Macaca mulatta: one gene and its partners. The protein of the gene in region 6 purifies or fractionates together with the protein of the main gene of each other region. This does not show direct contact. Links are inferred from orthologs where the notes say so. Each region holds a gene or a part of one and is shown on either strand. Other genes may lie near its edges.

The links.
Region 1: the proteins of YAF2 (region 6) and E2F6 purify together in Homo sapiens (affinity purification with mass spectrometry; 4 studies listed by BioGRID and IntAct, counting the BioPlex papers as one, with this or other methods). This does not show direct contact. The link is inferred for Macaca mulatta from reciprocal best matches to the Homo sapiens genes YAF2 and E2F6.
Region 2: the proteins of YAF2 (region 6) and TFDP1 purify together in Homo sapiens (affinity purification with mass spectrometry; 3 studies listed by BioGRID and IntAct, counting the BioPlex papers as one, with this or other methods). This does not show direct contact. The link is inferred for Macaca mulatta from reciprocal best matches to the Homo sapiens genes YAF2 and TFDP1.
Region 3: the proteins of YAF2 (region 6) and WDR5 purify together in Homo sapiens (affinity purification with mass spectrometry; 4 studies listed by BioGRID and IntAct, counting the BioPlex papers as one, with this or other methods). This does not show direct contact. The link is inferred for Macaca mulatta from reciprocal best matches to the Homo sapiens genes YAF2 and WDR5.
Region 4: the proteins of YAF2 (region 6) and CSNK2B purify together in Homo sapiens (affinity purification with mass spectrometry; 5 studies listed by BioGRID and IntAct, counting the BioPlex papers as one, with this or other methods). This does not show direct contact. The link is inferred for Macaca mulatta from reciprocal best matches to the Homo sapiens genes YAF2 and CSNK2B.
Region 5: the proteins of YAF2 (region 6) and BCORL1 purify together in Homo sapiens (affinity purification with mass spectrometry; 5 studies listed by BioGRID and IntAct, counting the BioPlex papers as one, with this or other methods). This does not show direct contact. The link is inferred for Macaca mulatta from reciprocal best matches to the Homo sapiens genes YAF2 and BCORL1.
Region 7: the proteins of YAF2 (region 6) and MGA purify together in Homo sapiens (affinity purification with mass spectrometry; 5 studies listed by BioGRID and IntAct, counting the BioPlex papers as one, with this or other methods). This does not show direct contact. The link is inferred for Macaca mulatta from reciprocal best matches to the Homo sapiens genes YAF2 and MGA.

The regions. Positions count from the first base shown.
Region 1 is NC_133418.1:113,370,518-113,374,696, forward strand, and holds the start of E2F6 (transcription factor E2F6), read left to right. Parts: upstream 1-1,379; 5' UTR 1,380-1,637; coding exon 1,638-1,745; intron 1,746-4,179. UniProt on the Homo sapiens protein: Inhibitor of E2F-dependent transcription. Binds DNA cooperatively with DP proteins through the E2 recognition site, 5'-TTTC[CG]CGC-3'. Has a preference for the 5'-TTTCCCGC-3' E2F recognition site.
Region 2 is NC_133422.1:107,803,496-107,807,563, reverse strand, and holds the start of TFDP1 (transcription factor Dp-1), read right to left. Parts: upstream 2,801-4,068; 5' UTR 2,768-2,800; exon of another isoform or gene 2,610-2,767; intron 2,334-2,609; exon of another isoform or gene 2,079-2,333; intron 1,736-2,078; 5' UTR 1,672-1,735; coding exon 1,660-1,671; intron 1-1,659. UniProt on the Homo sapiens protein: Can stimulate E2F-dependent transcription.
Region 3 is NC_133420.1:8,377,343-8,381,340, reverse strand, and holds the start of WDR5 (WD repeat-containing protein 5), read left to right. Parts: upstream 1-1,198; 5' UTR 1,199-1,245; coding exon 1,246-1,334; exon of another isoform or gene 1,335-1,462; coding exon 1,463-1,626; intron 1,627-1,866; exon of another isoform or gene 1,867-1,985; intron 1,986-2,040; exon of another isoform or gene 2,041-2,735; intron 2,736-3,998.
Region 4 is NC_133409.1:150,652,918-150,657,013, forward strand, and holds the start of CSNK2B (casein kinase II subunit beta), read right to left. Parts: upstream 2,801-4,096; 5' UTR 2,754-2,800; intron 2,171-2,753; 5' UTR 2,160-2,170; coding exon 2,088-2,159; intron 1,140-2,087; coding exon 1,037-1,139; intron 474-1,036; coding exon 358-473; intron 1-357. UniProt on the Homo sapiens protein: Regulatory subunit of casein kinase II/CK2.
Region 5 is NC_133426.1:136,431,939-136,436,028, forward strand, and holds the start of BCORL1 (BCL-6 corepressor-like protein 1), read left to right. Parts: upstream 1-1,290; 5' UTR 1,291-1,677; intron 1,678-2,219; exon of another isoform or gene 2,220-2,623; intron 2,624-2,962; 5' UTR 2,963-3,073; intron 3,074-3,924; exon of another isoform or gene 3,925-4,052; intron 4,053-4,090. UniProt on the Homo sapiens protein: Transcriptional corepressor. May specifically inhibit gene expression when recruited to promoter regions by sequence-specific DNA-binding proteins such as BCL6.
Region 6 is NC_133416.1:49,172,033-49,176,012, forward strand, and holds the start of YAF2 (YY1-associated factor 2), read right to left. Parts: upstream 2,801-3,980; 5' UTR 2,747-2,800; coding exon 2,721-2,746; intron 2,568-2,720; exon of another isoform or gene 2,542-2,567; coding exon of another isoform or gene 2,489-2,541; intron 2,278-2,488; coding exon 2,152-2,277; intron 397-2,151; exon of another isoform or gene 10-396; intron 1-9. UniProt on the Homo sapiens protein: Binds to MYC and inhibits MYC-mediated transactivation. Also binds to MYCN and enhances MYCN-dependent transcriptional activation. Increases calpain 2-mediated proteolysis of YY1 in vitro.
Region 7 is NC_133412.1:19,154,313-19,156,852, forward strand, and holds part of MGA (MAX gene-associated protein), read left to right. Parts: intron 1-806; coding exon 807-2,083; 3' UTR 2,084-2,540. UniProt on the Homo sapiens protein: Functions as a dual-specificity transcription factor, regulating the expression of both MAX-network and T-box family target genes. Functions as a repressor or an activator.

The DNA of each region.
Region 1 (4,179 bases), on a different chromosome or scaffold from region 6:
TACTCTTAGCTACGTGGGAGTCTTAACTGGGAGACCACTTGAGACCAGGAGTTTGATGCTACAGTGAATTATGACCATGCCACTGCCCTCCAGCCTGGGTAATGGGGAAAAAAAAAGATTAGAGACCTCTGACATCATAGTCTAGTGGGGAGCCAGCTTCTTCAGGGATTTCTCCCTACCTCACCTCGCCCACCTCAGGCTGTGTAGAAACCCCCAGTCTAACCGGTTGTTTCCCTCCAACTCTGTACACACCACGGTGTGTTACCTTTTTATTTCAAACATGTGCTGGCCTCTGTTCTAATCACAGCAACCTGTATCCATTAATCCATTTAATCCTCACAACAACCTTATCAGGTAAGTATTGTCATTATTCGCATTTTCCAAATAAGGAAACTGAGGCACAGGCAGATTAAGTAACTGGCTTAATAAGGTCTTCTGGTTTATAAGTAGGAGCCAGGATTTGAAAACACACCTCTGGCTCCAGCTTAATTAACATGCTCTGTTTACTTATCTGTCCCCACTGAAATTGGAGGTTGAACCTGTGGCATATCCAAATGAGTAAGTATCGCCTGTGCTCACCCCAATATCTGACACTATAGGTCCACGATAACTCATTCATCAAACAGGAAGGAGGGAGGAAGGAAGGAAGGAAGGAAGGCAGGAAGGAAGGAAGGCAGGAAGGAAGGAAAGAAGGCAGGCAGGCAGAAGTAAAACGATACCACAATGGTTTGGTTGCTCACATTTACTAAGCATCAACACTGACCCGCCTGTAAGATGTGCTAACAGAGCTCAGGAATAAATGAAGGCCGGGCGTGGTAGCTCATGCCTATAATCCCAGCACTTGGGAGGCCAAGGTGGGAGGATGGCTTGAGCCCCAGAGTTCAAGACCAGTCGGTGCAATATACTGAGACTCTGCCTCTACTAAAATTAAAATTAAAAATTAGCCGGGCGCAGTGGCGCGCGCCTGTAGTCCCAGCTACTTGGGAGGCTGAGGTGGGAGGATCGCTTGAGCCTAAGAATTCGAGGCTGCAGTGAGCCCTGACCACGCCACTGCACTCCAGCCTGGGCGACAAAAAAAAAAAAAATTAAAATTAAAAAAAGGAATAAATGAACATCTTTGCGGCTGAGAGCTTTCAGTTATCACCGTCGAGAATTCCAGGCGAGCGCTGCGTTTTCCCAGCTGCCTGTTTTCTCTCACCCCCGTTCCCTTCCTCTGGAATCCGGCTCCACCTCTTCCTTTTCCTTTGCCAGCCTCTCCGTGGATTCCGCGGTCCGGGTTTCCCGGGCGCCAGCCGCCGGGAGAGGATCAGTGCGTGGGAGCGCTCCGGCCGCGGCGGGCATGCGCAGAGGGGGGCGGTACACTGCGCATGCGGAAAAATGGCGGGCCGGGCTACTTGAGAGCCGCGGGTTTACCTCCTCCTTTCCCGTCTTCGTCGGGAGTTCCCGGGCACGTGAGGCAGTGCCGCGTTTGCTGGCGGGTGGGACGGCCTAGCCGGGCGGGGCCTTGGAGGACGCCGCGGATCCGTCAGTTTCTGGGCCCTTGGAAATCGGCGCGTGGGGGGCGGTGATCGAGCTGCGCGCGAGAGGGCGGGAGAGCTCGCGGGGTGCGAGGGGAGCGGGACGCCCGGCCGGGCAGCATGAGTCAGCAGCGGCCGGCGAGGAAGTTGCCCAGTCTCCTCCTGGACCCCGCGGAGGAGACGGTTCGCCGTCGGTGCCGAGACCCCATCAACGTGGAGGGACTGCTGGTAAGCTCCGGGACGGGAGGGGGACGGGCGGGGGTCTCCCAAAGCTGGCCCCCTCCTCCCCGCGCCGCCGCCAACCCCGCTGGCCGTCGTCTCGGTCGTCTGCTCCCCCTGGGCCAGGCGCTGCCCATCACGTGCTGCGAAACTGCGCTCTCCCGCCTTCTGCTTTCAGCATCTGTTCACAGACGTGGTGTCAGTCTTCTGGACTTTTACATCGGAACTTCAGGGCACTGTTGGAGAAAATTGCTCAACTTTGCATTGGAAAGGCCATGTTTTTCTCCTTCAGTGGACTCTAGCTGTATCTCTGCAACCTATCATTTGTTCTTCTACCTTCTCTCTCTTCTGCTCTACTGCAGCCGTTTAAAACCTTGTCCACGCTTTATATTTACCACGCCACAGCTCCCATTCATAAAATTATCTCCCCACCTGTTTGACGGAGAAAATGGTTAGGAGATTTGGCTCCCTTTCCCACAAAGACTGATTTCTTCTACTCTTGTTCTGGACCAGATACTGTATTCCCCGGTTCTCAAGGTCCTTAACAAATGCGTTCTTTTCCATTCCTCCCGTATTTTCTTTTTCTTTTTTTGAGATGGAGTTTTTACTCTTGTTCCCCAGGCTGGAGTGCAATGGCACGATCTCAGCTCACTGCAACCGCCGCCTCCCAGGTTCAAGCGATTCTTCTGCTTCAGCCTCCCATGTAGCTGGGATCACAGTCATGCGCCACCACACCCAGCTAATTTTGTATTTATAGTAGAGACGGGATTTCACCGTGTTGGCCAAGCTGGTCTCGAACTCCTGACGACCTCAGGTGATCCACCCGCCTCGGCCTCCCAAAGTGATGGGATTACAAGGCGTGAGCCACCGAGCCCGGCCTCTCCCCATATTTTCAATTTCTCTGCTGCTTTCTTCCTATAACTAGTAGTAATTAAACATTTTCCCAAGTCATTATGCCTGGTCCCCATACCAAATAGTTTGTGATTATTGTCTCATTTAATTTCTCACAGCAGTGTTTTATAATAGTAAAAGACTATTATTCTTGTTTTACGGTTGCCAAAACAGACCTGGAGATGCATGTAATGCCGGCTTGCCTGTGGCTAGATAGTAAGTGGAGAAACTTGGGTTGAACCTCCAAATGTCTAACTCCAGATGATAAATTCTTGACTACTAAAACCACATTCTCAATCCATCCCCATCTTAAAAGATCCCTCCCTTAATTCCATATCCCTTGCCATCTACTGTCTCTCTTCCCCTTCACAGCTAAACTTCTTGAAAAAGTTATTTACACTCACTCTTTCCACTTGATCGTCTCATTATCAGCCAACCCACTGCTGGGGACCCCTATCCTCAGCACACTTGTGAGACCATTCTAACCAGGGTCACCGACAATCTCGTCAATTCCAGCAGCTGTTGTAGTTTTGACACAAAACTACTTGTGTTGGAAACTCTCCCTTGAGTTTCCTTGACATTGATGTTCCATCTGCTTCTCTGGGCTCTCCTTGTCCTCATCCTCTTCCCAGTCCTTCATTTTTTTTTCCCCCGAGACAGGATCTCACTCTGTCACCCTGGCTGGAGTGCAGTGGCACATCCTGGCTCACTGCAGCCTTGACCTCCCAGGCTCAAGTGATTCTTCTGCCTCCACCTCTCTAGTAGCTGGGACCACAGGCACATGCCACAAGGCCTGGCTAATTTTTTTATTTTTAGATATGGAAGTCTTCCTGCGTGGCCCAGGCTGGTCTTGAACTCCTGGGCTCAAGCTGTCCTCTCACCTCAGTTTCCCAAAGTGCTGGGATTACAGGTGTGAGCCACCGTGGCTGGCCACATGTTGATGATATTCAGGGTTCTCTTCTGCTGTCTCTACACATTCTTCTTAGGGGAGTTCATTCTCTCCTCCCATGACTTATGTTACCGTCTACATTTGATCCTTGAACGACTCAGGGTTTGGGGCACCAAATCACATGAAATTCAAAATCTGAATATAACTTTGATTCCCCCAAAACTTTACTGTTTCCTGGAAGCCTTACTGATACTGTAAACAGTTGATTAACACATATTTTGTATTTACATGTATTAGTTAGTGTATTCTTATAATAAAGTAGCTAAAGAAAACGTTATTAAGAAAATCATAAATAAGAGAAAGTCCTACTCATTCAGGGGAATTAGATGATCGTAAAGGTCTTCATCCTTGTCTTCACACTGAGTAGGCTGATGAAGAGGAGTAAGAGGAGGAGTTGGTTTTGCTCTCTAAGTTGTGGCAGGGGGTAAAGAAAATTGGCATCTAAGTGGACCCACACAGTTCAAACCTGTGTTGTTTGAGGATCAGCTGTATATTGGTACCATCTGTATTGGTCGTCTTAATATTTGAGAATTTGATAAAAACTCTAAGCTCACTGTGGAAAAACCACTTAGTTTGCATGCAATATCAGCAGATACATCGCTT
Region 2 (4,068 bases), on a different chromosome or scaffold from region 6:
AAGATCGCGCCACTGCACTCCAGCTTGGGAGACAGCGCAAGACTCTGTCTCAAAAGAAAAAGAGCTAGAGAAAACATCAAATTCCTTGACTTGTCCACAATCTCCCTTTCCAGCCAGACCCAGCACTCCTGACCACTCCCAGACTTTGAGCAGGGAAGGCCTCACCAGCTGTAGAATCCTATTCTCCTCCCAGCGCCAGCCCCCAACTCAGATCATAACCCCTGAGCGCAAGGTAAGCCCCCAGGCCCTGTGCCTATGCAACCCCTGACAAATGCCGCGTCTCAAATGCCAAAACTGGATAGAGCATTTGGAGTCCCGCAGAGTCGGATCACCTTTCTGTATGCCCCCGACCCCCAGCCTCACACTACATGCTGTTCACATACAGTGCCAATGAAATCAAGGGGGAATGAATGAGGGCCCCGGTGACACCACCCATTATGTATCAAAGCGTGTTTAAGAACCATTTGAGGAAACCACACAGGAAACCACACAACACCAGAAGCGTGCTCTAACCGAGGCCCTGGGCCCAGCTCCTCACTGTGAGGAGACGTAATGAACACGGCTGCGCGCTGAGCACATGGCCACATCTGGCATTCTGAGTGCATGCACGCATGAGGTCAGGGCATGGTACGGACAAGCACAGTGGATAGGGTAAAAGTAGCCTCGCAGCACACCCAGATATGACTTCAAAAACCCACATTGGGTCCACCTGTGTGCTCATATGCCCTCTCTAAAGCACATCCCAGTGCTTGAAGCCAGGGACACCGTGTGACGTAGGTGGTCACAGGTCAGGGAGGGCAGACGCCCCACAAGGACTCACAGGGACCACTGAAACCTCTGCGTCGATGGAGAGGGTTCCACACTCCGGATGCATTTTCGCTACAGCTGTATCAACAACCCCTTTCACTCACAGTTACAGAGCAATGCGTGATGGGAAACACTAAGGAATCCAGCTTGCTTCAGTGACCAGCATTACCAAGCATAGTAAAGAACCACACGCCAATAAAATAGAGTACATTTCTGGCCTTAAAAGCCTCGATCCCCACACAAGTTTAAAAAATTATTCAAAATATTCTATAGTTTCATGACAAATACTAAGCAGGCTAAGTAGCATTTCTTACCAGATTTCATAAACCACCAAATCTCATCCTTCTGAGAAAAAAAAGTGGCCAAAACAATTGCTTAGCTCTTGGTCCACCCAAGTGGAATTAACTTCCTCTATAGAAAGACAGGTGCCAGCAGGTGGCTACAGTCTGAGACCTAAGCCTGGCCCCCGTCCAGGATCTTATGTGGAAGCCCCCAAGAAATGGAGGATTCGCTGCGGTGCTGCAACACCCTCCACCTCAATTTAATAAGGAGTTTATTCAAAATTAGCAATTAACACAGTCGGTAAAGATAAGGAGAAAGTCAGAAGGCACCACCCCATCACCACCCAACTGCACAGTGTGGTATCCAAGGCCACAACTTGGGGGTGGTGAGCGCAGTTTCAGAGATCAGATCCTTCCATCTTTCACCTTCATCCCGCTTCAGATGCTTTAAAAGTCTGAAAATAAACACTACTGTAGCTTATGCGTTGTCATTCTGAAATAAAGGCAGAAAACTACAAAGAATTTAGTGCGAGGCAAACATTCGTGTGCAGCATGAAGCAAACATACTTACATCTTTTGCCATGTTACCAGATCCGGGAAATAAATGCTACAAATGTTCACCTTCCCAGAGAAGAAAAATGATTTTTCTGGTAAAAAAAAAAAAAAGGAAGGAAAAACAATAAATAAGTAAGAATGAAAAAAGAAGTTGAAAAAATAACACATCTCAAAGGAAACGTGGACCTTCCTTCCCAAAGGCACCCTCCATCCTGAGAGCGGAGCTGGCCAAACCGACTCCCACACTGAGGATTTTAAGTCGCCTCGTCAGACGGAAATGTCCCCTGCGCAAAAGTGGCCGGCGGGCCCGCAGGGTCACCACCACGACCCCCAGGTCCCCGACGGCCCGCCCAGCGGCCGAGGGTGGGGCTGAGCCCCGGCAGCCAGGGCGCAGCGCCTCCCTCCCGCCGCTGCAGGGGGGGCCCCACCACCCACCTGGGCGCAGCCCCAGGGTCCCGGCGCAACGTGCAGGCTCGCGGCGTCCACCCCAGACCCCGGCGGCGCCCGCCTGGCTGACCGGTAACTCTGACAGGTGGGCTTCCGGGGTCCGCGCCGCGCGCCTGTCACTAGGCCTCGGGCCGCCTCCGCACGAGGCGCCTCCCGCGCGCGCCGGAACCGGGTCCCCGCGGGCCGCCGTGGGGCGGCATCCCCTCCCCCGCCCTGCGCGCTCCGGCCGACCCTGGCCCTGGCCCCACCTCCGGCGCGGGGCGCGGGCGCTGCTATCGGCCAGGAGGGCCAGGCCCGGGACCCCCGCCCCGCGGTCACCTGGGGAGCCCCCACCAGCGCCGAGCGCGCGGGGTCCCCGAGGCACAGGAGCGCGCGGGGCGCGGGAGGGCGCGGGAGACCGCGGGTCGGGGCCGCGCGGCGCCTACACGCGGCCGGGGCACAGGATGGGGTGGCCGGGGGTCCCGCCCGCACCCCCGGCCCCCGCCCGCGGCTCCCGCGGCATCCCCTGCCCGCCCGCACCTGGCTGCCCGGTCCGGCCGCGCGGGCGGGGACGCGGAAAGGGCGCGGTGCGGGGCGCGGGGCGGCGCAGGGAGGCGCGGGCGGGGGCCGGGCCGGGCGGTCCCGGCCGTGGCGGGGTCCCTGCCCTGGGCCGAGCGGCGCCGGGACGCGGGGCTCACCCTGGCCGAGCGTCGGGCCGGCGTGACGTGCGCGCGGCGCGGTGACGTGGGCGGCGGCGGGCCCCGCAGCGCGCCTGCGCGCCTTTTCGCGCCTTCGGCGCCCTCCTCCTCCTCTTCTGCAGCTCCTCGGTCTCCCGCTCCTCCCGCCAGTGCTGCGCGCCCTGGGAGGGCGGGGAGGGGCCGTGCGCGCGTGTCCGCGTGTGCGCGTGCGCGTGCGGAGATGGAACCGGGGCCTGCGCCGGGACGGGCAGTGAGCGCGCGCGGCGTGCGCTCGGAGGCCAAGGGGCCGCGTTTGTGCGCGTCTGTGACGGTGTGTCTGGAGAGAGAGGTGGCCGGCTGTGTGCAAGAGTGTGTGTGCACATGGGGGAGCGGGGTCGGCTATGTGCACGAGTGTGTGTGCACGTGGGGGAGCGGCGACTGGTGTGTGCACGTAGGGGAGCGAGTAGTGTGCGCACTAGTGTGTGTGCATGTGAGGGGGCGGGGACTGGTGTGTGCACTAGTGTGTGTGCACATGGGGCAGCAGGTGGGGGGCCGGGTGTGTCAGGATGTGTGTGCAGGGAGCAGAGAGTGCCGGCTGTGTGCATGTGTGTAGGGGGGAGCACGGACTAGTGTGTCCAGGAGTGTGTGTGCGAATAGCGGGGCCGGGTGTGTGCTTGAGCTCTCTCTCACAAAGGAGAGACAGCCAGCTGTGTGCGCGCCTGTATGCACGGAGGGAGGGGGCCGCTTGTGTGCACGAGTGTCTGTGCACATAAAGGGCCGACTGTGTGTGGGGCTGTGCATGTATGGAGAGCAGGTGTGTGCACAGACGTGTGTATGTGGACACACGGAAGAGAGGTGTGTGTGCGTGCGTGGCACAGAGGCCGCTGCCTCTGCTGGACCCGGTGACCTCCAAGCCCATGCCTGGCCTACCCCCAGATTACCAACAATTCTGGGTGTCCTCTGTGCCCACTGGACGCAGCCTGGCCCGGGACTCGGGAGGGAAAGCAGGGACAGGAAAACTCCAGAAACAGTTTCATTGCATGGTGAGCCTGGTGGTCCCCGAGTCCTGGAGACTCAGTCCACCCTGGACGGCCCCGCCGCTAGGGCCAGGCCCGAGCACCCCAGCCAAGGGCGGGCTAGGCCAGAGAAGAGTCCAAAGTTCAGGGCCACAGCTGGCGGCAGAGGCCGGTGCGCACCGAGCGTAAGTCTAGGAGGACTTGAGGAGCTGACCAAAGGCCTCTCTGCCTATGCAGGGTATTATTACATGACAGCCCGCTTTGCACATTTTATGCTGATTTTGGCCACTCCTGCTCCTCAGGCAA
Region 3 (3,998 bases), on a different chromosome or scaffold from region 6:
TCCACCTGCCTCAGCCTCAGACTCAGGTGATCCCGACCTCAGGTGATCCACTCCCCTCAGCCTCCCAAAGTACTGGGATTACAGGCGTGAGCCACCGCGCCAGGTGGGATTATCTCGTTTTTACTAGAAGGCTCTATCTCCTGGGGGTGGGATGGGGTGGTGAGATCAATTCACCTGGAAGTGGAAGCTGGGAACCTGGTTTGAGTTCTGATAGTTCTGGGGTCCAGCCCCTTATCTTGCTTCGCCTGGAGGGCTGAAGGACTGGAAATACTTTTGTTTTGGGGCTGGAACGCGGGCTGCAGTTTGGGAGGCGGCGGTAGTTTGGAAAAGGAGGCGGGGTCTGGTAAGCACTTTACCCGAATTGGGCAGTGGGAATTTGGGAATTGAGGACAATGGGAAGCTGGTTCTGAGTTTTAAACTGGGGAGTGACAGATCAGAGCTGGATTTTTAGGAGTTTCTCTGTCTGCAGGTTTAAAAAAGACCCGGGTGGGAGGTAGGGCTGGGGTGAGGAGGGAGAGAAGTGGACGATCTGAGAGCTGAGGCGGGGTGGAAGGGAGAGCAGCCTGTCAGGGGCTCGGGATTCCGGCCCAGGCGGCCAGAGATAGAGATGAGCTTCTTTCTCCGAACTGGGTTTGCTAACCTGTGACTGTCACTACTCCATGCTCCAGGGCACCTGGCCCAAGGGATCAAGCCTTTTGGGCACACAGATCCACCTGGAGCCCTGAAGGACCAGACAGGGACCTCGCCTTCTCTGTGTCCTTCCTGGGAAGGGGACTCCAGACCAACTGCCAGTCTTCCGGTTCCACCTCTCTGACAACCGCTCACCTCACCCTCCTTGGCATCTTTATTTCAAACGCTCTGTCCTTTTGTTTGCACGGGTTCCTGTGTCACATTCTGTGTTCCCATTTTTAATTGGAGAATAAGGGACTGCGTTATTCTACCCACAGGCCTAGCTGAGGGGATAGGGAGGCCGTGCCTACCTCCAAGGCTCTACGAAGTGAAGCAGGCGAGAATGTGCAGTCGTCGAGGCCAGAGGACCGGGCCTCAGCTTCTCCTTAAGACCCTGAGTCCTCCTCTGGGGACCACCCCGTTGTACCTGGAGGAGAAAATGCCCGCCCAGGAGGGAAGGGTTGGCCCCCAGAGAGCCCGCTGCGAAGTGAGTTTGCGCACTGCGGAGTGACTCCAGCGCGGCTCTGCCAGTCCGCGGGGCTGGCGGGGAGCAGGTTCGTGCACCGCGGGCTCTGCATGCAGAGGCGGGAAGCGCCCGCAGCCCGGCAGCCGGCCCAGCGGGAAGGCGCAGCCCGGGCTTCCGAACCCTGTGAACGAACGCGCAGGTTCCTGGTCTTCCAAATGGGCAGGAGTCGTCCTACCTGCCTGGGGTGGGAGGCCACATGGGGGCACTGCGCCCGGGAGCGGTCCCGGGTGTTTTCCAAATGCCCACTGCTGCTCTCATCCGTACCAGCGATGATCAAGAAGGGGCCTGGTCGCCCGGGGAGGTGCCCCGGTCCGACTTGACTCCGGGGACAACGCCGGGCGACGCCATCTGCGCAGGTCCCGGAAGGCCGCTTGTGTCTTTGTGCAGGGCGTGCTGTCTGTGGAAACGCGAGGGCACACTAGCACTTTCCTGTATGTATCATTATACTTCAATTTTTAGGAAGTACATTAGGAGGGCCTGCACCAGCCAAATTCGGGGATTAAAGCTTTTAAGCGGGAAGCACGCGCCCCGTGCTGTCCCTTTAAAGCGTTGGGCCGGCCCGAGGCATTCTGGCCGCTGCCGCTGCCCGTAGCGCTCCTCCGAGAGGCCGGCTTTGTGAGCTCGCCCCGCCCCCAGGACACCGCCCCCCTCCCCTCGCGCACGCGCACTGCGCCCCCGCCGCCTGGCGCCCGCCCGAGCTGCCGCCTCGTCGAGCTGAGTCCGCGCTCCCGCCCAGGCGGCGGCCGACGCGACGCCCCGAGCGCCCGGCCCCGCCGCCGCGGCCCGGCAGGTAAGCGGGTAGCCGCCCGGCCCGGGGAGCGCAAGGCGGGCAGCGGGGCGGCGCCAGGAGCCGCCAAACCACCCCCGGCCGCCGCACGTGTTCCCCGCCGGGCCTCGGGCCAGGCCCAGCCCCGGGCGCTGCTCCAGCTGCAGCGGCCCCGCCCGGGACCCCCGCCCTGGCCTCTCGGTGGACGGCTGCGCGCGTAGGCCCCTCCACCCCGTCCGCCCCCACTCGCGCCCCCACCTCCGCTTCCCCGGCGGGCCACTGACAAGGCCAGAGCGCCGGCACTGGGGCCTCTTTCCCGCAGGCGGCGTACCGGCCTCACATCGCCCCTCTTCCTCCTCTGCCCCTTCAAGGAAGGACCCCAGACCCACCAAGCCACTCAGTCCCTGGACGTGGTGCGCTTCCCCTCCTCGTAGAAACGCCCCCAGCCCGCTCCCGCCGCTCACCCCAACCCGAGGTAGCCAGGCTGCAGTTCGCTAGGTGGGGTCCTGGGGTGCGGGTCCTCGGTCCTAAACGGGGGGCCCACCGTGCCTCCTCGCGCGGGGCCGCAGACCTGTCCTGGCCGATCTGCGAGAGCCATTTTGAGCGGTTACGTTCCGGGACCAAACTGAGGTCGGCCTGTTATTTATCGCTAACGACACTCCCTGCTGTCTCGCTTGCAAGTTTCCACTCACCCAGGTCCGTTTACCCATCTCTTCAAATGCTAGTTTAATCTGTGACCTGGGCAGGTGCTGTGCTAGCCGGTGGGGAAGACAGGTAAGCGAAGGACCCAGGCGGAAGCCTGTCCAGGATCTCAGAGAGGTAGAGCCGGGTTCCCACCTGTGTTGGGCTGGCCACCTGGCTGGTGTTGAAGATGCAGATTAATTCTTGTCTTTGCACACAGTGTGCTCTCCTGACTGCACGCCGCAGGCAGGTTCCTGGGCTGGATCTCAGGGACTGAGGGACTCAGGCATCAGCCTGTGGCATGCAGTCCAGGAGGCCATACTGAGATTTGGTTGCTGGGCTTCAGGTGGTCAGGCTTACCTGGATGAAAAGCAGTGGCTGCTAGGTGGAGTCAGGCAGCAGCTGGTCTAGAGGTCACCTCCTCATCACCGTGCCTGTAACCTCGGTCCCCCCCCTTTCCTCAGTATCAAGTCTCCAACCTTCCTGTTCCCTCAAAATGATTGTTCCACAGAGACACCTGGTTGGTCATGAAAATGCCAAGCCTTGGCCCAGCGCGGTGGCTCACGCCTGTAGTCCTAGCACTTTGGGAGGCTGAGGCGGGCGGATTTTCTGAGGTCAGGAGTTCGAGATCAGCCTGGGCAACATGGCGAAACCCTGTCTCTACTAAAAATACAAAAAAGTAGCAGGGTGTAGTGGTACGCACCTGTAATTCCAGCTACACAGGAGGCTGAGGCACAATAATTACTTGAACCCGGAAGGTGGAGGTTGTAGTGAGCCGATATCGTTCCGCTGGACTCTTTGGACTCTGTCTTAAAAAAAAAAAAAAAAAATGCCAAGCCTAGATGCCACTACTGAGGTAGAAACTTGGCAGGTGTGTTGGGTCAAGAAATTGCATCTCTCCCCCTACCACCACCACCACGGAATTTTTCACTCTTTGGCCCAGGCTGGAGTGCAGTGGTGCAATCTTGGTTCACTGCTATCTCTGCCTTCCAATTTCAAGCGATTCTTCTGCCTCAGCCTTCCCAAGTAGCTGGGATTACAGGGACCCGCCACCACACCGGCTAATTTTTGTATTTTTAGTTGGGACGGGGTTTCTCCATGTTGGCCAGGCTGGTCTTTATCTCCTGGCCTCAGGATCTGCCCGCCTCCTGCCTTGGCCTCCCAAAGTGCTGAGATTACAGGCGTCAGTCACCACACCCTGCCACTGTATTCTTAAAAGTCAGGTTAAGGTTGTTTTGTTTGTTTCTTTTAAATGTTAATGGTTTTTGAGCCCAAAGGGTTGGGCAGGTTGGGCTTGAGCTGGGAGGGGCTGGGCACCTTTTTTGTAAGACCGCCTACCTGTTGTTCCTCATGTGA
Region 4 (4,096 bases), on a different chromosome or scaffold from region 6:
TCCCCCACTCCTCCCACCTCTGTCCAGAGGCCCCTTCTCTGGCCCAGATGGGCTCTCAAACTCCTATGTTGCCTTTCTTCCAGTTAGGCAGGCTACAAACCATCAGAGCCATTTGTTGTTTGTTCCCTGAGGAAGAGGCAGTCTATCACAACTCTCTGTTCAAGGACTGTCTCCCTCCCTGAAAATTATCCCTTCAGGATGACCCCCAATCAGAATTCAATTCCCAGGCCCAAGCCTGGGGTTCTTCTCCTCTTCTCAGCCAGTTTCCTTAAACAAGGCTTAAACATGACTTCTTGCTGCAGGAACCTGTGTCCCTTACTGCTCAGAAGGAGGCAATTAGGAGCAGAGAGGCCTCACCATCTGGGCAATGCCACGGTTGGTAAGGATGTAGCGGGCGTGGATCAATCCATAAAGCATCTCGGCAGCCTGCTCAATCAGGTCACTCTGGTTGGGGTTGTCTTCCAGTTCTTCATCTGAAACACAGCCCGGCCAAATGCAACCACTTGTTTTTCAGCTTTCCTAGGTGCCCTGCCCATATCCAGGGGGTGCGGACTATTCAGTTCGCCTGGCACCTACTTTTGGGCCTTACCCCATCCAACATCTGGGCATGTGACCCAGAAACCTGGGCTTCTGACCCTTGCGCCAACCCAAGACAGCTCTGTCTTCTCTTCACACCTCTTTAGCCTCCGCTCCCCACTCTCCCTCCCAGCTCCCTCCCCAATACATAACTGCAACAATGTCAATGCAAAAGATGAAACTCTAGACTGGAAGGTGCAAAGCAGGAGAAATAGCAAACCAGACCCATGAGGAAACATATTTTGGAAAACATCTGAATTGTGGATTTAGAAAACATGGGAACAAGTGATATACGTCACAAAACTAGACACAGTCAGGTGGAGGATCAAAATAAAGCATGAATTTGGGGTTAAAGAAATCAGAGAACCAAAGGAAATTTCAAAATTCAAGTAAGTGAATATAGATTTGAAGAGAAAAAAAGTGCATGCACACACACAAAACAACCCTGAGGGTGCCTCACCAGGCTCCAGGTCCAAGATCATGTCTAGAGCTTGTCGATAGTGAGGAACCTGCTCATTGAGTCCAGTAAGATTAAATTTGTCCTGAATGTAGTCTTCATCCACCTGTGGGGACATGGAAGCCAAGAGGGAACCCATATCAAAATCCCCATCTTTGACCTGGGCAAAATGCTCTAACTGATGCCTTATCATCAACACAACTGCATCTGTTCCGCTTGTTTCTCACTCCCAACTCAGCAGAAGTACTTGCGTCTCTCCCTAGTTCACCTATACTCCCTCCCATAAAGCTTTGGCTTTTCTTTTCTAAGGATAAGCAGGTACAGCAATCTTTTTCTTAGACATTCTTTTCAAGATCTCTGTCCCTACTCCTGTACTCCATCTCTAGGAACCAGTTTTGTCCTCTCAGCTGGCTGAGGAGGATGGAAGCTGAACGGCATGGTTTCTGAACAAAACATTTCAATACGTAGCATTTCAATTTTCCTAACAGCCAGCTGAGACATGTACTAGCAGTACAACTTTAGTAATAAAAGATACAGGCTGGGCGCAATGGCTTATGCCTGTAATCCCAGCACTTTGGGAGGCTGAGGCGGGCAGATCACCTGAGGTCTGGAGTTTGAGACCAGCCTGGCCAACATGGTGAAACCCTGTCTCTACTAAAAATCCAAAAATTAGCCGGGTGTGGTGGCGGGTACTTGTAATCCCAGCTACTTGGGTGGCTGGAGCAGGAGAATCGCTTGAACCTGGGAGGCAGAGGTCGCAGTGAGCCGAGATCGCACCACTACACTCCAGCCTGGGCGACACAGTGAGACCCAGTCTCAAAAAAAAGATAAAGAAAAAGACACAAATTGCCTGCTGGAGGGTGGCAGAGTCAAAACTTGGGCCCCAGTTTTGCCACTTTAGCACAGGTTCGTCGGGGGTTATTGAGGGGACTCTTCGTTGATGGGAAGTTTTCAAGTAGTATGTAAGAGAACAGTGTAGAAGTGGAATACGTGAAGGAACATCTGGTGGGAAGATATGTGAAGCCAGCAAGTAGGGAGGTCGAAGAGAACTCACTTCACAGAAGAATTCATTGCCACGGAGCCCACAGAACCAGGAAATCCAGGACACCTCCTCTGAGCTGCTCATCTTCACGTCAGCTGAAAAAAAGAGTGTCAGTAAAGCTCAAGTTCTCCTTCCCTGCCTCGGGTATCCTCCCTCCTCCCACATTAGAACCACCCTTTCTTAAAGGATCCCAAACTCTGAAGCACTCCTCTCCAACTCCTCCAATTTACATCTCAGTTCCCTTTTCTTTGACGTTAAACATTCTTTGGGGTCCCACCACTTGAAAGAAGCCAACAGATACTTTGACCCACCAGCCCGACCCACGTCCCTGGAGCTCCCGAAAGCCAGGGCCCTCTCTTCTCTGTGTCAACTCCGGCAGGGACCTCGACTCAGGCTCCGTACCAATGCAAGTCTCTGCACGACCCCGGCGCCTTTCCCAAGGATTTCAAAGTTTATCACTCTCAAGCAAGAATCGGGCCCCTCCTTTTCTCAAGGGTTGGGGGCGACTGTCAGGTCCCTTTCACCGGATTCCACACATCCCCCCTCCGCTCCTCAAGCCACCTCTCCCTCCTTGCCGGACCTGGTTGCTTCCTCCCCCCGCCCCCATATCAAAGTGCGGAGACCCATGTGCGGCTCCCAGCGACAAGCGACTAGGAGCAGCGAAGACCTCAGACTCACCAGCTGGACGGGGACCAGGACTGGGGTGGGGTAGGGAAGTTGCTACTTCGAAGGAACGGCGGCGACCGCTACAGCGCAGGCCGCGGACCCGACCGCGGCAGGCGAAGTGGGGTGGGGGGAGTGGAAATTGGGGAGGGTGGGGAAGAGGGCAACACGCAAGCGCCAAGGGTCAGGTGCCGCGGTGGATGCCGGGACGCGGAGTCCCCGGTAGAGAGAGAAACCGGCTAAGTGAGGGAAAGCGAACTACCAATCCCAGGATGACCCGCGCACGACCTGGCTGTCACGAATCCCCGGAGGAGGACGCTTGCGGGCGGGGCGCAACGAGAAGCCACCGGAAGCGGAAACCAGGTATGGCGTTCGGGGCCTGGGAGCCTGGGCAATACAGTTGTGTGCTCACTGGGCGAAGAAGCTGACTTAGGGCGGGGAAAGGAGGGAGCCAGGCTGGACCCCTCCTCGCAGCTCTCCTCACAGTTGCCCTCTAGTCCCGGCGCGGTGCTGCTTCCCTGGGGACTGGCCTATCCTTGGCCAATGCGCTGGGTCCTTATTGCCTGTTGGGCCCCTAGTGCGAGTCAGTCCCGCCAGAGACCCTTGACGGGCCTTCTGTTTTACTCCGGGCTCCGGCCTCATGAGGCGAGAGGTGCGGCTTGGCTCCGTGCGTAGGGACTTGGGTTGGGAGGGCTGGGCTGGGCTGGGCTGTGTGAGAACCAGAACGGCCCAGTGCGCTAACCTGAGGTGGTGCCAGCCATTCTGCTCGTCCCCTTGCACTTCTCCATTTCCCCTTAGTCTCTAAGTGTGACCTTCGAACCCTGGTCAGAGTAATGGTGAGGGGCAGGCGTGACGTTATTTCATTACACGGCTTCTCGGCATTCCACAGGTTTCCCTCCGCCTCCTGAGGGCCTTTCCTAACCCAGAGAGTGGATTCCTAGCTCCAGAAAATGGGCTTGGAGCGGGGGCCACGTAGAGGAAGGCGAAGGGCATTGTGGGGGCGTTATGTAAAAGTAGGACCCCAACCGACAGATCCTAGCGCTCGCGCCACCTGGGCGCGCGGAGCTTTGCTCGTTTACTATTGGAAAAGTTCCAGCGCGGGAAACTGAACCGGGAGCTTTGCGCACGCCTGAGCCATCAAGTAATGTGGGTGGTGGTTTTTGTTGTTGTTGTCGCCACGCATGCGTCTCCGTGCCGTGTGGCTATTTGATTGTGTCAACTCTGCTGATCAGAATAGCGCCATTTTGCGGTACGGAAGCTACACGGCAACACGTATAGGAGCCTCTCCCCGAGATCTTCTAGGGAGTGACCCGTCTATTTTTGTTTGGGAAGAGGAAACTCCGAAATGGGATCACGGA
Region 5 (4,090 bases), on a different chromosome or scaffold from region 6:
TCTTGAGGAGAGGTTCCCAAAGCAAAATAAAATGGCCAGCGCCATGTCCACGTTGCTGGCAATAGCTTTTGACGGTGGTGAGCACAAGCAAGAGGGGTCCTAGAACACCAGGCCTCAGGCAACAGCAAAGCCACTGCAGCCTTAGATAGCTTGCTCCAATGCTCACCCACATCCCTCACACCAGGTGAGGGAGACATACCAGGCAAGGCTCAACTGCCATCTCTAAAGTACTTCCAAAGGAGAGAAGACACATCCAAGCTAAGAGATGGAACCTCTGGGCCTAGCAGGATCGAGGTGGGGTGGGGAGGAGGAGGAGGAAGACATTAATCTGGCAGGGCTTCCTTCTAGTCCAAATGACCCTCTGACTTCCTCAGCATGGATAAATATATAACAAATAATATCAATATATCTGCACATAAAGACTTTTTTCGAATTCCTGCTATTCATTTCAAATTCCGTTTACAAAGCACTGAATCCTCCAGGAACTGCTGGGCACCTCCCCTAATACCCTCTAGGCTGAGGCGATGCCTTTGAAGTCCCTATCACGGGCTCAGGGCTGGAGCTGCTAAGAAACACCCTAAGACTGAAAGCAAATCGGCCGGCAGCTTCAGCTTCTTCGCAAGCTGCTAGCTGCTCTCCTCGGAGTCAATGTAAAGTCATCAGAGTTCGAATGTGGACCGCAAGCTTCTCAGCCCTTCAGTCCCAGGGATGATCTGGGATGTAAACACACACGAGGGTTTATTCCTTTGGCCAGGCAGAGAGTCGTTAGGGTAAAGGGTAAGGGTCAAGGGGGCTCGGATTGGTGACTGAGGAGCCCAAGGAAAGCCGGCAGAAGCGAGTCCTCTTAGAGCTGGGCTTTTGGCTCCGAATCGTGCAGGCTTCCCACTTTACACAGACCTTTCATCCCCTTCCTCCTTCTTCCTCCCTCGGGTCTCTCGCCACCCGCCCCCCACCTCGCCTCCATCCCCAGATGCCTCCACGCCCAGGTGGTGTTGCCCACTGAGGGTGGCCCAGGGGGTTTGCAGCCGGGGAGGTTGCCACCACGGGTGGGCCGCCCCGGAGACGAGAGGCGAGGCGGCGAGCCCCGGCATTTTCCTTTCCCCAGCACCTGTCCCACTTCGGCGCCGGGGCTGGGGCTGCGCCCGCGGGCGGCCTCGGAGCCTGAGCGCCAGAACCACGCACTGAGGTCGCCCAGGGTGGGGAAGTAGGGGGCCGGGGGAGGGGCGGGGCATCCGGCGGGGACGTCTTCCCCACCGCATGCAAGACCCTTTGCGCCCCCCCAACATACACTGAGGCTAAAACAGGGGGAAGAGAGTCACACAGAGCACGAGCGAAATCGCTCGCTCTCCGACCCGAACAGCGCGTTGCTCGACCCCCCCCCCTTCCTGGAGCCGGGGGCTGGCCGAGGAAGGTGGCTCCGTTCTTCCCCCGTGGCCAGTGCGGGGTCTGCGGCTGCCCGGCGAGGTTCCGGCTTCCCCGGGCTGGCAGGGGGAGCCCCGAGAACTGCAGGCCCGCCCCCCCTTCCTCCTCCTCCTTCCCCTCCTCCCCCACGTGTCCTCCCGGAGCCCAGCGGCCTGATCCCAGCACCCCCCGCCACCTCCCTCCTCCCGCTTCGCCCGCTTCCCCGGCGGCGTGGAGAAGAGCAAAGTTGCGACAGCGGCTGGGGGCTCTGCCCAGGTAAAGGGGGCGCCGTGAGGCGGGGGTGGTGGGCGAACGGTGCGGCCCTGCGGCGGGGGCGGGGGGAGGATAAAGAAACTTGCTTCCCGCGGCCCCCACCCCGCGTGGGTTCCGATCTTGCGTGGAACGAGCCCTCGTGGCGAGTCGCGGCAACACCGCCGGGACCGAGGCCGGCACCTGGACCCGGACCCGGACCGCGCGCTTGGGTCGGCTCGGCGGGCGCAGGCAGCGGGCCAGGCCAGCACCCAGGCAAGGGCGGGGTGGGTGGCCGTACACCGGACCGAATCGGGGACTCCAGTGGCGTGGGCGCAGGCCGAACCCGGACCGGGCCGAGTTGGGTGGCGAAGTAGGACGTGGATTCGGGGGCGGGGCGCGGCGGGAGGGGGAAACCAGGCCTGGCCGGACTGGCCTGGGCGTGGGGGCGGGGGGCGAGTTCGGGGCACTTGCTGGGCTCTGGACCGAGCGGTAGGGCGGGGCGGCGCTAGGGGCTGGGCCGGACCCGCAGGGAGAGGGCGAGGGGAGGGAGAGCCGGGGGTGGAGTAGGGGCGTGGAGTTGTGGAGCGGGGTCTGGCCTCGGCCGGGGGCGAAGGTAGATCGGCGGGGCCGCGAGCGGAGGGAGGGAGGCCCGCGGCAGCGCGGCGGCAGCGAAGGCCAGCTTCCGCGGAGTTTGTGCCCGGGCTTCCCGGGCTCCGGCCGCCTCACGCGCACAAATGGGGCTAGGGGACTGAGTGGTAAGCAACTCCGAGTGTTAGACGGTGATCGAGCGGCGATTCCGGGAAAAGCGAGGAAAGACACCGTCTGCGATTATGCCGCACCCCCCACCCACCTCTTAGCATCTGGATTCTGCTCTCATAGTGGGGGCCGCGGACCCTCCCCGCCACAGTCTTTTTACTCTCCAGCACTCCCACCTCCTTTCCCCTTCTTCAGCCATCTGACTCTCCTAGGGGTATGTGTTTTTGGGGGTGGACGGCGACGGGGGTGGGGGATACTTTCCTTCCCGCGGCGACAACCTAGTTCGTATCTTATTCCTACAAGGTAGCGTCGCTTCGAGTCGCGTGGACATTGGGGTTTAGATAATTTACCCCCCACCCAAGCGATTTAATGGCTGTTAAGCAAAAGGCGAATACCTGGATTTCCATGGCAGGGATGAGGTTTGAAGATTGGGATTCAACCCCAGCTCACTTCCACTACCAACCCCTCTTTCTTGTGAGCCACTTCCACGGGTATCCAAACCTGGGGGGGAGGGGGGACGGGAGTATTAATATGCTTCTCTATTTCTACACAGGGTCGGCGTGAGGAAGGACGGCTAGCCTTGGAGGGAAAGTAGCCACCAGTCCAACTCGGGTCACCCCCACCATTATTTCGGTGAGGGGGCAACGCTAAGAAGGGGATACTGGTGGGTAGGGGCCCAGTATAAAGGAGGGGGCTGGGTAGTTGTCCCCAGAGGGACTCCGTGTCTTGGCGGGGAGACAGAGAGGCGAGCCCCGGCTTCAGGGGAGGGGTTCCGGGGAGGGAGATGGGGGGGTGGCGACGACGGTAGAGGGGGGCGGGAAGAAGGGGGAGTCACGCCCTGCCTGCAAGGGGAGCCTCCCTCAGGCCCCTGGGAGAAGGGGACTGAATGCGTCTGTTCTCTGCTGCCCAGCAGAGGAGATCTGGGGTCTCGAGATTTGCACACTGGATGGGCACCAGTGGCCTGAGAAAGTCAGGTCGGGGCATAAGGTGGAGAGCGTTGGAAGAAAGAGAGGGAACCCCTCGGCCGCGGCCCACTGACCCTCTCCCTTCCTCAACCTCCCCCTTCGAGGGGCGTCGAGGCGGGGGGGGCGACGTGGGGCTCCTGCAGCCCCGCAGATTGAGCGCCTCCGCCTCTCTCGGGAGTCTAGCTTTTTGCCCGGCTTGCTGCAGCCACTGCTGCCTCCCTCTCCGGAATCCGCTCGGTCCTCTCAGCGATCCCCTCCTCCTCTCCTCCCCTCCCAGTGTCACCGGGGCTGCTTGGCTCTGCCCCCTTCGCCGCCGCTTGCTCCCTGCTTTCGTCCCTCCCTCTCTTGCTCGCTCCCTCCCTTCGCCTCCTCCTCCCCATTCCCCCCCACCCGCGTAGGCGGCATTCTGGGAGTTGTAGTCCGGTGGCGCGGGGGTTGGCGCCGCCCGCGGACCCAGCCGGACTCCACTTCCCGTCGAGCCCTGCGACCGGCACCCACTCCACCAGGCTTCGCTCGCACACAGACACACACACACACCGCTCTCCCCCTCACTCTTTCGCTCGCCGCGGCTGCTGCCAGTGTGTGGCTCTGTCTCTCCTCCGCTTTGCTGAGCCCTCCCTTCTTCCTCTCAGTTCCTAGAGTCCGACCGCCGCCGCTGCCGAGAGAGAGGAGAAGGAGGTCGGTGGCGATAAGGGGCGGAGGGCGGCATCAGATCG
Region 6 (3,980 bases):
AACACTTACTTTCAGGAACACAGTGTCCCTTAGATTTCTGGTGAGTTGCCCAGAGCCTCTTCAGTTTCAATCCAAATGACAATGCTTCTCTGAGTCCTCCTCAAGTAATGTTTCCACCACTAAAAATTGGATCTACAAGAGCTCGGATGTACCGGTTAAAAACAAAAAAAAAGTCAGGGGCCCCCAGGTGGGCCTCAAGCCTCTTTTAAACTAGGCCCACTTCTCTGTCCTGGGCCAACTCCCCTGTGTACTATATTCCTTCTTCTTCCAGGTGCCAGGTATTCAGCCTGTTTCTTCTCTTCTGAGCTGCCACCACCTACTCTATTTCTCAGGGTTCCTCTAACCCCAAGACTGGCTGTGGAGTAGGACACCAGCTTCCCCCCTTCCTTGCTGTCCCTGCAAATAAACATATAGGCTCTTCTAGTTTCAGTATTTTTCTAATGGCTACAAGAAAATAGAGAGGGAACAACAAAAAGCAATAATATATAGTACCAGAGATCAAGATTATAATAATTGTCTCCACTTTAATGTTCCTGCCTCCAAAAAACAAATTTTCTAAATATTGTTTACTAAGCATTTTAAAAAGCACAAAGTACTAACACGGATATACAAATACACTCTAAACCAACTCCAACCTTACACAGCAATTAAGATACTCTGCTTTTCAAAATACTTAAATCACAAAACACGGGTCCAAAAATAGTAACCACAATCATTTTAGCAAACACTTTTTTTCTTTTTGGAATGTTCTGTTGTAATCCCTTAAATTTAGCATGTCTAAAAGTTGGCTTTCTGAGCATAAAAAATGTTCAAAATATTTTATCCACTGTAAATGAGAATAAATGGGTCCAAAATTAGTAACCACAATCATTTTAGTATATACTTTTTTCTTTTTGGAATGTTCTGCTGTAATCCCTTAAATTTAGAATATGTTTGAAAATTTGCTTTTTGAATATGAAAAATGTACAAAATATTTTATCCATTGTGGGAATATACAAAAAGCATATAATATTTACAAAAAATAAGCATGTCAAAGCCAGCGAGCTTCACTGAGAAAATTTTCAAATAAGTTACTGTCAAGCATTCCTGTCTCTACATTTCAAACTTAATAAAATTCTGTAGTGTTTTAAAAAAAAATCAAGATCACATTTTTTAGAAATCTAAGGTCTACTGAATATTTGCATATGTCAATATCATATATGCCTTTTTTAAAGCAACAGTAAGATAGATTAGTATGCTTATTGTTATAGTTTAGTCCCTAATGAACTTTGTAACATCAAAATATATATCTTCTCTACATATTAAGTAATAAATCACAGGATTATATTTAATTCAAAGGGTACCTTCCTATAAAAATCAAGGAGCTCGATAACTAAGTGCTGACAGATTAAGAATGCCAGACTGAATTTCCTGGATGATTTTCTTTATCCACTTAATTCAAAGTCGTTTTTTAAAAAACAGAGTTATTATACTGCAAGCTTACAATAAATAAAGTCTGAAAATGGGCAGAGATCTTTTCATCTCATTTGTCTAAGAGACTGCCATTTAATCAAACTAAAGATATGCAGGTACTTTCAGTAAAAATCTGTTCCTGTGACTGGGCTCATCTCCAACTACTTATTTATAAAATATTAGAGAACTGGAATAAAAACACTAAATAAAACCTTGATCTGACCCTTCCAGAAGTCCATATAGAAAAGAAGTTTAATATATTGTGTATTCTGCAATCAGATAGTTTTCTTTTTTTAGGAACGAAATTAAATTACATCCTTTGCTCCTAAAGAGGATTTTATGGGTTTTCCTTGATCCCTACACACTAACACAACAATGCAGCCAACATTTTTATACCCAGAGTGGGGAGAGGGACATTACACACGGCGATACGAATTAAATCGCAGTAGCTAATGCCTCCCATAAATAATTTATTCTCTCTTGGCAGCAAAAAACCTTACAGCCTCTTCAATTACCCCTCACCGCAAACCATCGCCTGGGTTGCGATCAATGTGACCCAGTTCCTATCGCCACAGCCACCTCCGTCTCGCCTCCTCCCGCCGGGTCCGCGAATGTCATGGGAGGGGGCGGCAGCCGCAGGGGCGTCCCCTGGTCGTCACCCCGCCAGCCGGCGGCGCGCGGGGCAGGCCTGGGACTCACCGGGTGGAGGTGCCCTTCCGCACATCGCACATCATGCACTTGAAGGCCTCGGCGCTGTTCCGGAAGGTGCAGACGCTACAGTCCCAGTAACCCTCATCCGAGGACGGCTTCGGCTGCCGCTTCGGCCTGCAGGACACAACCCGGACACGACGCGGCGCGGGGTCACCAGCAGGCCGCGCCCGGCGCCCGGGCCCCGCGGCCGCCCCCGCCCCGCCCCCCGCCCCAATTCCGCGACCCCCGCCCGGCGGGCCCCCGGCGGGCCCTCGGCGCGCCGCGCTCCGGCTCCAAGGGGGAAGGAAGTCAGGAAGAGGCAGGGCGCGAGCCCGGCCGCACTCGCCGCCGCCACAGCCGCTCTGACACCCGGGCTGCCGCTCCGGTAGCCGCCGCCATCGCGGCTCCATTGTGGGGCGGCCGGCGCCGGCCCCCTCACGCGGCAGCACTCGCACACCAGCGGCGCCGCCCCCGTGCTCGCCCCGGTGCCCGGGCGGCGAGCGAGGCAGCCACCCGAAGCCCTGCACCAGGGCCCTGCCGCCCGCACAGTCCGGGCCCCGGGGCCCGGGCGCTGTTACCTGGTGGGGCTCTTCTTGTCTCCCATGGCTTGGCTATCAACGCACGCTGAGAGTCGCCGCCGCGGCCGCTCTGTTTGTCAATAAGGAGGATAATAAGCCGGGCGGAAGCGGGCGGGGGAGGAGGGAGGAAGGGGGCGGGGAAGGCCGCACCGCCGCGCTCCGGAGCCGCCGCCGGATCCCACGCAGCCTCCAGCTGTCGGGGAAACTCCTGCCTGGGCGCACGTGACCCGCGCCCGCCAACCAGCAGCCGCGCCGGAGACTTCAAACGCGGCCAGCGCGGCCCAGCACCCGCGGCGAGTTAGCCGGCGGGCGGTGCGGAGGTGGACGCCTCGGCCTCGGGAGCCGGCGCCGCCTCTCCGCACTGTTGCCCTGTCGCCTTCTCGGTACCCACGGCTGCCAGGGACTGCCGCGCGCTCCAGAGCCCCTCTGAGGAGGAAAATATCTGTCCCACCGACTGGCTTGGGATGCTCAGTCATCCCGTGCGAAGCCTGGTCCAAGGTCTGGCATTCGGAGGCCTGTCCAGGTCTGGACAGAAGTGCCAGCCCGGGGTCTCCAGGTAGAACGACTTTCCTGGCCGCCGTCCTTAGCTACTCAGTCCCCGCCTGCAGGACACCACGGGGAAGGCGGGAACCAACACGCAGCGCCATTGCTAGATGCCTTAAAGCGCTACACAGATGCTCAAACAAGTAGGGCTTGTCACCCCTAACTTATAGGAATCGAAATCAAGACTCAAGAGAGGTTAGGTGACTTCCTCTGGGCTACATAATTAGAAAATGACAAAGCCAGGAGTCTAACTCTGCTCTAATTCCAAAGGCGCCCTTTTGGCCTCTCAGGCCTCTGCAGTAGCTGCTTTTGAAAGAAACCCAATACATACTCATAAGGCCTTTTTAAATATAAGGAGTTTGCATGTCCCCTCAACGCTGTCTGCTAACAAAAGAACACCTTCCCAGGTCTCTTTACCTCAATATACTAAATAAAGGTCCTCATACTCCAGACTCCAGCAACAGCCATCAAACTGGTCTCCGAAGCTCCACTTCCACCTCCCCAATCGATTCAGTAGTCCACAACCAGATGAATAATAAAATGCTGTTAATATTATGCCACCACTCTGATCAAGAACCACTAACGACTCCCACACTCCTTAGCCTGGCATTTAAAGGCTTCACACATTTTCCCTACCTCTGCATCCCTCTCCCATGAGAAAAGCTGTCTCCTGACAATGCACATGGGTTACTTCTGCATAAACTAGATCCCTCTTTA
Region 7 (2,540 bases), on a different chromosome or scaffold from region 6:
CGGTACTGTTTGGTGTGTTTTACACCTGGTATTGAGCACCATTTTGTGAACTCTAGTAATTTCTAAGAGGAAGAATAAAAAAGATGTCAGAGGGAAAGGAAGATGTTAAATAATCACGGTCTTAGGTCTTGGTGTTGATAAATATTTGTCAGTTTCTTGTGGTACTCAGAGATGATAACAGTCCTGCATTACGAGCCTCATTCACTTTGAGCACTACTCTGTTTTGGGGCAAAGGGTAAAGTTGAAAGAGAATTCTCACTTGGGTGATTAGGTGATAAAGGTAAAAGGGTCTCTTTAGTAATATTAGGTAAAAGGTAAGGGTCTATTAAGGTAAAAGTGTCTCTTTAGTAATATGAAGATCCTCATTACTTTATTGCTATTGCCAGCCAAAATTCCTTGTCTCTACCTCTTGCCAGACTCACTCTGGAGGACTCATCTTTTCCTGGTTCCCATGCTGCCTCTAGGGCTTCATTTTCTGTGCTAAGTAGCAGTTAATTGGGTGAACAGAATCAAGATGTATTTCTGCCTTAGGACAAGAATTAACTTGGGGGAGCATTTCTATAAAATAGTTAAATGGAACTTTAAAAAATGGTGGAAAGAGCCATTTGGTTGGATTTTAGTTGAGTTTTTTCTTATTGGGTTAGGTCAGTAATTTGAAGAGCTGATACTTCTTTCATCTTGATAAAAGTAGAGTGCTGAATTTAGACTACAACTCCCTAAGATGGTCATATGGTATGACAGAGAGAGAGAGATGCTAACTCTGTAGATCTAAATGAATTTTTCTTTTTTTAATTTTTGTTTTTCAGAAAACGACGACTTATTTATGATGCCACGAATTGTTAATGTGACATCATTGGCCACAGAGGGAGGTTTGGTAGATATGGGTGGCAGCAAATATCCTCATGAAGTTCCTGATGGCAAGCCATCTGACCATCTGAAAGACACCGTCAGGAATGAAGATAATTCCTTAGAGGATAAGAGTAGAATCTCTTCCAGAGGAAACAGAGATGGCAGAGTGATGTTGGGTCCAACGCAGGTTTTTCTGGCAAACAAAGATTCTGTTTATCCACAAATAGTTGACGTTTCCAGTATGCAGAAAGCACAAGAGTTCTTACCTAAAAAGATTTCTGGTGATATGAGAGGGATTCAGTATAAATGGAAAGAGAGTGAATCAAGAGGGGAGAGAGTGAAGTCAAAGGAGTCTTCATTTCATAAATTAAAGATGAAAGATCTCAAGGACTCAAGCATAGAGATGGAACTGAGGAAAGTAACATCAGCTATAGAGGAAGCAGCTCTTGATTCCAGTGAACTGCTAACTAACATGGAAGATGAGGATGATACTGATGAGACACTGACTTCACTGCTCAATGAAATTGCCTTCCTTAATCAACAACTAAATGATGACTCTGTTAGCCTGGCTGAACTACCCAGCTCTATGGATACAGAGTTCCCAGGGGATGCTCGGCGGGCTTTTATCAGTAAGGTTACTTCTGGAAACAGAGCAGCTTTCCAGGTTGAGCACTTGGGAACTGGTTTGAAAGAGTTGCCTGATGTTCAAGGGGAGAGTGACTCTATCAGTCCCCTCCTCTTGCACTTGGAAGATGATGACTTTTCTGAGAATGAAAAACAACTTGCAGAACCAGCCTCTGAACCAGATGTCCTTAAGATTGTTATTGACTCTGAAATAAAGGATTCCCTCCTTTCCAACAAAAAAGCTATTGATGGAGGGAAGAATACTTCTGGCCTCCTTGCAGAGCCTGAAAGTGTGTCCTCACCCCCCACCCTACACATGAAGACTGGCCTGGAGAACAGCAACAGCACAGATACTTTGTGGAGGCCTATGCCAAAGTTGGCCCCTCTAGGTTTAAAAGTAGCTAATCCTTCCAGTGATGCAGATGGTCAGAGTCTCAAGGTGATGCCTTGTTTGGCACCTATAGCTGCCAAAGTTGGGTCAGTTGGACACAAAATGAACTTAACAGGGAATGACCCGGAAGGCCGGGAAAGCAAGGTGATGCCTACATTGGCACCTGTTGTGGCTAAATTGGGCAACTCGGGGGCCTCACCAAGTTCTGCAGGGAAATGAACTTACTTGTCCTTAAGCAGAAGCCAGGCTGTGAGGGGAAACTGATCTCACCTCCTTTCTCTGCAGGCATCTGTTTGTTTGTGTCTTGGAACTTGGATCCTTGACTTGGATGATGCAGTGGATAATGATGGGAGAAAGGGGGTAGGGTGCTGACCCTGGTATTAAGAAGTACTCTGAAATTCTGATCATGTTAAAATGTGTTACCTCACTTGTGGTGCTGGGTCCCCTCATCCTCTCTAAGAAGATGTGATCCATTACTGAACACGAGGTGCCCCTCTTACCCAAGGAATTTATAACAGGACTCTGGCTCCACAGTGGTTTCTAGTTCTTCCCCCACAAGCGAAAGAGCTGTTTGCAACTTTGGAGTTGCTGTGGACTGAACTGTAGCTTGTAGCTGTTGAATTAAGTCTGAAATCTAAGGAATGTGATGGACTTGTGCAAAGGGATCTAGAAGAGA